Linked DNA regions of Arabidopsis thaliana. The protein of the gene in region 2 purifies or fractionates together with the protein of the main gene of each other region. This does not show direct contact. Each region holds a gene or a part of one and is shown on either strand. Other genes may lie near its edges.

What was found. The genes of interacting proteins can lie anywhere in the genome.
Region 1: the proteins of CPR5 (region 2) and LGO purify together in Arabidopsis thaliana (affinity purification with a luminescence readout, with the first as the bait; one study listed by BioGRID). This does not show direct contact.

What each region holds. Positions count from the first base shown.
Region 1 is NC_003074.8:3,280,760-3,283,937, forward strand, and holds LGO (LOSS OF GIANT CELLS FROM ORGANS), read right to left. Parts: upstream 1,373-3,178; 5' UTR 1,292-1,372; coding exon of another isoform or gene 1,262-1,291; 5' UTR 1,220-1,261; coding exon of another isoform or gene 1,204-1,219; coding exon 817-1,203; 3' UTR 547-816; downstream 1-546. Other genes in the region: AT3G10527 (uncharacterized protein), read left to right, coding at 917-1,219, 1,262-1,291. UniProt on the Arabidopsis thaliana protein: Probable cyclin-dependent protein kinase (CDK) inhibitor that functions as a repressor of mitosis in the endoreduplication cell cycle. Cooperates with SIM and SMR2 to promote endoreplication during leaf development.
Region 2 is NC_003076.8:25,945,137-25,949,964, reverse strand, and holds CPR5 (CPR5 protein), read left to right. Parts: upstream 1-1,567; 5' UTR 1,568-1,643; coding exon 1,644-2,030; intron 2,031-2,590; coding exon 2,591-2,647; intron 2,648-2,752; coding exon 2,753-2,788; intron 2,789-2,865; coding exon 2,866-4,080; 3' UTR 4,081-4,282; downstream 4,283-4,828. Other genes in the region: ATH13 (ABC2 homolog 13), read right to left, coding at 1-69, 154-289, 376-849; CIP8 (COP1-interacting protein 8), read left to right, coding at 4,623-4,828.

The DNA.
Region 1 (3,178 bases), on a different chromosome or scaffold from region 2:
GTACATCAGTTATCTAACTGAGAAAAATATATATTGTGAGAGGTACCAAAGCGTTTTCGGTTCAACCTAGATGAATGAAATTGGAATCTAAGATACAGTAACATAATAAACGTTAAATGTACAAATATCGACTTGTATATTAAAAAATAAACTCTATGACATTATATTGTTTGAGACTATACGAGTAATAGTTATCTTTTGATTTGATTGCCATCATATTCTCACATAAATGCAATGATTTTATATTTAAAAGAACATGTACCACCCATTGCTCATGAAGCAAGCAATGCTTGATCACTAGCTAACATCACTGTAATTTAATATATTGATAAATAACTTTTTATCAGGCGACATATATACAAAAGTTTGTTCAAAGATTTCATATACATGCATGCGTCATATATAACACAATTTTTTTTTTTACCAGGAGATATTTTGATCCTTCATATTGGCTGCGGATATTTTACATCATATCGGTCATAGTAGGTAAACGCGTTCTTCAACTTTAGAAGTCGACAATATATGTTTTGAAACTATTTTTTCCATGAAGTTGGATGATAAAACGATCTTGTCTCTTATAAATGACATAAATATCACATTATTGTATAGAAAACTTGGCAATTGGAATTAAATTTCATTTATTACTCAATTTACAACATCGACCCCTCCATGCGAAATTAATATGCGCGGTTGCAGAAAATTATCCATCCATATTCATAATTAAATTAAAAATATTTAAAACCGAACACCAACAGATAATTAATTTCACAATATTTCCAGTAAAACTGTAAAAAAATGTAAATATTGAATTAAGCCTCATCTTCGAGAACAATAAGGGTAACTTCTCCGCCGTTTAGCCGTAGTCGACGTCTCATTGTAGACGGAGGAGAAGAAACGGTCAATCTCTTCCCGATTCATGATTATCTCACAAGTCGACACTAAAAGCTTCCTCTTGCACGATCTGATCATCAGAGCCGCCGTAGCCGACGGTGCTGACGGTGGTGGCCGGGGTTTTCTCGGCGGAGGAGGTGGAGAGTCTACGACGGCGGGAATCTTGTGTTCTTGGGATGTGGGTGTGCTGCAGCGGAGGTCATCTTCGTCGTCATCACCTTCGTCCTTCTTTGTTTTTGAGGTTTTGGATCGGATCTTGATGGGTGTTGGGAAATTGAATTTGGACAAATCTTGTAGTAATTCAAGATCCATATCTAAACTTGTGTATGTTTTTGTTTTTTGGGAAACTTTTTTTCTTTTGTGGATGTAGAGAAAACTTCTTGGAGAAGTGAGAGGTTGAGAAGGGTTTGTTATATGTGTTTGTGTCTTTACATACACGTATATACATACATAAAGTTAGAATGTCGCATTTAGAAATGAGAGTTACTTTTTGGCATGGAAAACGAAAATAAAATATAAAATATAGTATGGAGTAAGTAAGGTAAAACTATATAAAATGGGAAGGGAAAATGGACGTAACTTCCGAATTTAGAAAAAAATATATTATTTACTAGGGATGGTAAGTTACTTGTATAGTTTGTATGTATTTGTGTTTATGTACAAAACTAGCTAGAGCACATGTGATTCACAATTTGTAAGGGTTGCCTAATTTTGTTAGTGATTGCTTAAAACCTTTGGGATGACCTTAGTAAGATGACTAGCTATATTAAGTTTTGTACTGTAATATTTGTTGAATAATAAAAAAAAGTGAAAAAAATGACTGGAGATTTCCCAAAAAGTTTACAAAAGACAAATGAAACTCTAAAGTTTGGAAGTGCGAGTGAATTAAGGAGGGCCATAACTCATGAAACAAACGCAAATGGTGTTCTCGTACCATCGGTCTCCTATCTAAAGACGTGTGGGTTATGGTCTCAACAAGAACATTAAAGTGTGTCTATATAGAAACTTTTACTTAATAAAAAAACTCGAACCATCAAAGTAATAGTAATACCATCTATAGGTAGTAAAGAAAAGTACACACATATATATACAAATTTTAGATCAATGTCTTATCTTAGATCTCAAACATAAAGTTTGGTTAAATGTGTGTCTTGTACCTATTACAAACCTAAAAACATGGCATGTGATTAGATTTAAAACTAGTCCATGCATCATTATATTTTATGTAAACAATTGATTGCATCAGTTTCTGTATCCTCTACTTTAATAATTACTTAATGTCCAATGTGAGAAGCTGTATAATTTTTATGTGACATTATGATTTCAACATATACGGTGGACCCACAACGTTTTACACGCCAAGTTTAATAATGTAGAAAAAAATGTAAGCCTTTGCCATGCCATAGAACAATTATTAGACTTGTAACATGAGTTTGCTTTGCTTACTCATCCTAAACACTTTGCGTTTTTCAACTTAATGTAAGATCTACATTGGTTTACAAAATCTAATTATTAAATTACAACCGAAAAATAGATTTGGTACGATTATAAATTTAGTTTATACTTTGCTATACGTTGTTGATGTTCTTTTTGTCTTCATTCTTAGAATTATCAGTACTCTTAACATGTACACAAACTCGCTAAGCTAGCTGTATATTTATGTAATTAATTATTACATTTGCTGAGTAATTTTACGGCAAAATATGACATATTTTGGACATGCCACGTAGAAAAGCATGTGATGATGATATATACTGTATATAGAGTAGATCTGTGTAAGTGAGTCAGTGGTAATATCTAACTAAAAAAGTACAGAAATGGAAAGATCTATATGATCTCTCTCGCAGGATCTCAATCTCTGGCCCTTTTTTTTGTCAACCCTTCTTCCTCTCTTATTATGTTCTTCTCTCTCTTTTCTTTTGGTTACTGTAATTTGTTTTTTTGTTTATTGACATTGACACGTTTTCTTGCTTCGATTTTTACGGAAAGAGAGATATGTATATGAGGAATTAGGATAAGTCGATGTAATTTTGTAAGGCCACGAAACCATACGATCACAATCAAACAATCTGTAGCATTTAGAATCCATCAATTATAATCGATGTTGAAGTTTCGGTGGTCCAATATACTTACGGTTGTTAAAACTTTGGCCAAAACGAATCGTCTAAAAGCAATACCAGATTTAAATGGAATGTAAATGGAAAAGGAATCGAGAAATAAGAACAACTGATCTTAAAGTCTCACAATGTCCTACAAATTAAAAATGCACTTGTAATAATAGTAATAA
Region 2 (4,828 bases):
AAATGTTTTCTTTCAACCACTTAGCCAAAACCTTCCTTCTTAAAACCTTCTTCTCTTCAGTCATTCCCCCTTATACACATGATTTTTCAAGAATTTAGACAAAATGAGAATCGTCCTAATCCTAGACGTAAGCAAACAAAAACAAGTATCAACCTTTATAAGAGAACTTCTTATTGCTTAACCAAGTCCTGAAAATAAACTGTACAACAAAACCCCAAATCTCCAATGTTCTTTGAATAGTTGAGTAAGTCTTGAATCTATTCCATCGACCACCAGGTGTAACAGAAACCTGTAAAACAATATTAAAGTAGCAAACTTTCAAGGAATTGAATCATTAAACAAAACGATATTGATTAAAAGTACATTACTTTATACCTCAACTTGTTTTTGTTGAGTGTTGTTCTTAAACCAAGCATCCTCTTGACCAATATCTTCTACTCTCTTCTTCCTCACTTCTTCTTTTCTCTTCTTTGTCACTTCCTCCGTTTCCACCGTTACACTTCCGTTCACATACTTCACCAAACTACCGTTACCGTTCAAACGAGCACTTCCGTTAAAATCTCCGTTGACGGATTTTCTCGCAGAGCCGTTACCGTTTAAACGTGCACTTCCGTTGTAATCACCGTTGATCTTCACTGCATTATCACGATCTTCAACAGCGACATTATCGTCTTTAGAAGCTCTGATTAATCTCGTACGAATCCGGAGATTGTGATTGTAGCTTAATCGGTTTCTGGGTAAGAAGATCCCGGCGATTGAAACGGAACGAGTGATTGTTGGAGATTGTCTTGAGTTGAAATTGATGTTTGGTAAAAGCAGAGACGACGATGAAGAAGAAGAAGTCGCCATTGATGGTAATACTTCGGAAGAGAGATCTCAAGTTAAACCCTAGTTTCTCATGGATTATTTGCGTACAAGAGATTTTGAAGAAGAAGAAGAAGAAGAAGGTGAAGACTTGTTGTTTGTTGGCACTTTGCAGTGAGAGGTTTTTTGAGGTTCATGACGAACCACAGAGAATGTTAAAAAAAAAAATTATGATAAAATAAAAGGGGTGGATATGAAAAGGACACGTGGCATAAGATGAGATTAGTGAAGGAGATGTTCTTGTGTTTTGATTGGTTGTGTTAAGACACCTCATCGTGTTATTTATCGGAGCCACAAACATTGTGCGATTTTTTTTATTGTTCCTTTTTCCAAACACTTTTATGGTCCATCTTCAAACCAAACTGATTGGTTCGGTCCTAAACTCGACTACTTGGTATGTTAATCTGGTCCTAAGCTATATGTATGACTTTTAGTTCAATTAAGTACTGAACCGATCCTATTCATTGAACAGAAAGCACCTAGAAACATCAAATTATCGCTAAAAATCGAGTAAACATATTATTACCTATTTAATTGACATTAACATATACATTGTATAATTTGAAGAATTCGTTGAACTTACAAGTTAATTCAGATATTTGGTCAAGTATTTTTCCTATATTAAGCTAATTATGACGAATTTTTAAAAATACAAATTAAATCAGAGGAAAAAGTTGGAAATTCGAAACTTTTCACTAGTCACGAAGCGACCAAAGTCTTACAACTTAAATACTTTTCTCAAAGTTGCAAATTTACCCCATAAGTTATATTTTAAGGCTATGGAAGCCCTCCTCCTCCCTCCTTCGCCGGAACCCCAAAATCAAATCACCAATCCGGCGAATTCAAAGCCAAATCATCAATCTGGTGACGTACATAAAGATGAGACGATGATGATGAAGAAGAAGAAGGATACGAATCCATCGAATTTGGAAAAGAGAAAACTCAAGGGAAAGAAGAAAGAGATTATGGACAACGACGAAGCTTCTTCGTCCTATTGTTCTACATCTTCTACCTCTAATTCAAATTCTACTAAAAGGGTTACGAGAGTGGTTCATAGATTACGAAACCCTATGCGGTTAGGTATGGCTCGACGAAGCGTTGGTGAACGACAAGCTGAAAAATTGGCGAAGCCTCTGGGCTTTTCACTTGCCGCTTTTGCTAATATGGTTCGATCAATTTCCAAACTTTGATCTTTATTGCATCACATAACTGTTTTGATACGAAATTGGCTTTGCTGGTACGGGTTGTTCCTATAGTTGACCTTGCGTGAATACTAGGTTTTGGTTGTGTTGAAAGTTTTGATCTTTAGATAGTATTAAATACAAAGTCTTTCAATTTAGGCTTTGTTGATTCAAAACTGGACAGAGGAGAGGATCTGAATCAGAGTCAAAAGGATTGAATCTGAATTTTCTTCTCTCAGTACTTGCGTGAATTCTTCACCCTGAATCGAAGAGAGGATCTTCTCCTCAAATTATAATCAGAGTCAATCAATAGAAGCTGAAGTTCTTCTTGGGGGTCTCTATGATCGAGCTTCAATGTAACATTGCAAATTTATATTGTCTTCTCTCTCACTTGCCTTAAAGCTTGAGCCTTTCTAGTTTCTACTCGGATTTGTAGTTCTGATTGTGATTTCACCAAATTTCATCCTACCTAGCCGCCAAAGTCATTGACTTGCATATGCTCTGTAGTTCTTACTCTGTTTCTACTCTGTTTTATTGTTCTCTAGGTTATTGCGAGAAAGAATGCCGCAGGTCAGAATGTTTATGTTGATGATCTTGTTGAGGTAAGTAGTATGAACTTCAAATGATTTCTTCTCAGTTTCTGTTCAATCTTTCTTTTGCCATCGTTTTGGTAGTGATACAAGAACTTCATTGATTATGCTCTCCAGATCTTTGCTACTCTTGTCGAAGAATCATTAGCCAATGTAAGCTAAAATCCCCCTCTATGTTTTCCGCATTTTTATATTTATAGACTTTCTGATTCATAATGTTGTGGTTACAGGTTTATGGTAATAAGCTTGGTTCCTTTGCGACCAACTTTGAGCAAACATTCAGCAGTACTCTAAAGATCCTTAAATTGACCAATGAATGTGCAAATCCACATCAGTCAAACAATAATGATGGTGGGAGTTGTAATTTAGATCGCTCTACCATAGACGGATGCTCAGACACCGAGCTATTTGAGAGGGAGACTTCATCTGCTACGTCTGCTTATGAAGTGATGCAAGGCAGTGCAACAGCAACCTCTTTGATGAATGAGCTTGCCCTTTTCGAAGAGACTCTACAACTCTCTTGTGTCCCTCCTAGAAGTTCAGCAATGGCTTTGACCACAGACGAAAGGTTTTTAAAAGAGCAAACACGAGCAAACGACCTAAAGACCGTGGAGATTGGTCTTCAAATAAGAGAGTTAAGGTGCAAAGAGACGGCGCTAGGATTAAAATTTGAATCAAACAACCTGGGGAAAGCGGCGCTAGAGTTGGATGTTTCGAAAGCTGCATTCAGAGCGGAGAAATTCAAAACCGAATTAGAAGATACAAGAAAAGAAGAGATGGTCACAAGAATCATGGATTGGCTCCTCGTAAGTGTCTTCAGCATGTTGGCTTCTATGGTACTTGGCGTTTACAATTTTTCAATAAAGAGAATCGAGGATGCTACCTCAGTATGCGACCAATCCGAGGAGAAAAGTTCGTCGTGGTGGGTTCCTAAACAAGTTTCATCGATTAACTCAGGCTTCAACACCTTCATCTGCCGGGTTCGAGTTTGGGTGCAGATATTTTTCGGTGTGTTAATGATCATTGTCTTCACTTACTTTCTAAACAAACGATCATCAGGTACGAAGCAGACAATGCCGATAAGTTTCATCGTTCTTTTCCTCGGTATATTTTGCGGTGTATCGGGTAAATTGTGTGTGGACACATTGGGCGGTGATGGCAAACTCTGGCTAATAGTTTGGGAAGTGTTTTGCCTTTTGCAATTCGTTGCAAATGTCTTCACATTGGCTTTGTATGGTCTAATGTTCGGTCCTATAAACGTGACTCAAGAGACCAGATCGAACCGTTGTAACAGTATGTTTCCATATTGGGCAAGGCGCAGTGTCGTGTATGTGGTGATTCTGTTTGTTCTTCCAGTCATAAACGGTCTTTTGCCATTTGCAACATTTGGTGAATGGAGAGACTTCGCTATGTATCACCTTCATGGTGGGTCTGACTATGCTTGAGACGAGGAGGCCATCTTTGTATTGTAATTTATTGTAACGATTTGGGTTTTTTAATCTTATTTTATTTTATGGGTGCTGTTGAAACAATTGTATCGCTATTACAAAGTTATGTATTCGAGTTATATGTTTGTATTGTTGTCAAAAGAAATTAAAATTATGCTTTTCGATATGACAAAATTTCATGGGTCAAATGGTACTTTATCTTATCAAGTTTTTGGATAAAAGTGCAAGTCAGTTTTGATTTGGAAGCTGGTTTAAATTGGATTGAACAATTTGATTTTTATGTTTGACAGCAATTGAACAGTTTGATTAAATTGTAAGTATTATGAATTTATGATGATGGTGATATCATATATAGAAGAAAATATTATGATATTGTGGGTGGGTCAAGTGGGTAAATGAGCAGGATTCTCTAATGTCTTAAAAATTCGATAATAATAATACAGAGAGACCTTTTTCTTTTATTTTCTCCATCCTCTTAATCGGCTTATCGGATCCGAATCCGGACCCGAAAGCCTGAAAACCCGACGATTAATTGCACGATGTCCGATGCTCCGTCGTCTTCCCCGGATGCCACGGCGTCGCACTGGTGCTATCACTGCAACAAACGCGTCGTCGTTGAAACCTTAGATGACTTTGTCGTGTGCTGCGAATGTAACAAAGGTTTCGTCGAGTCAATTCAACCGACTCCCGCCGCTTATTCATCGCCGGCGCCACCGCAGCCACTTTCCCCAGATCTGAATGTAGA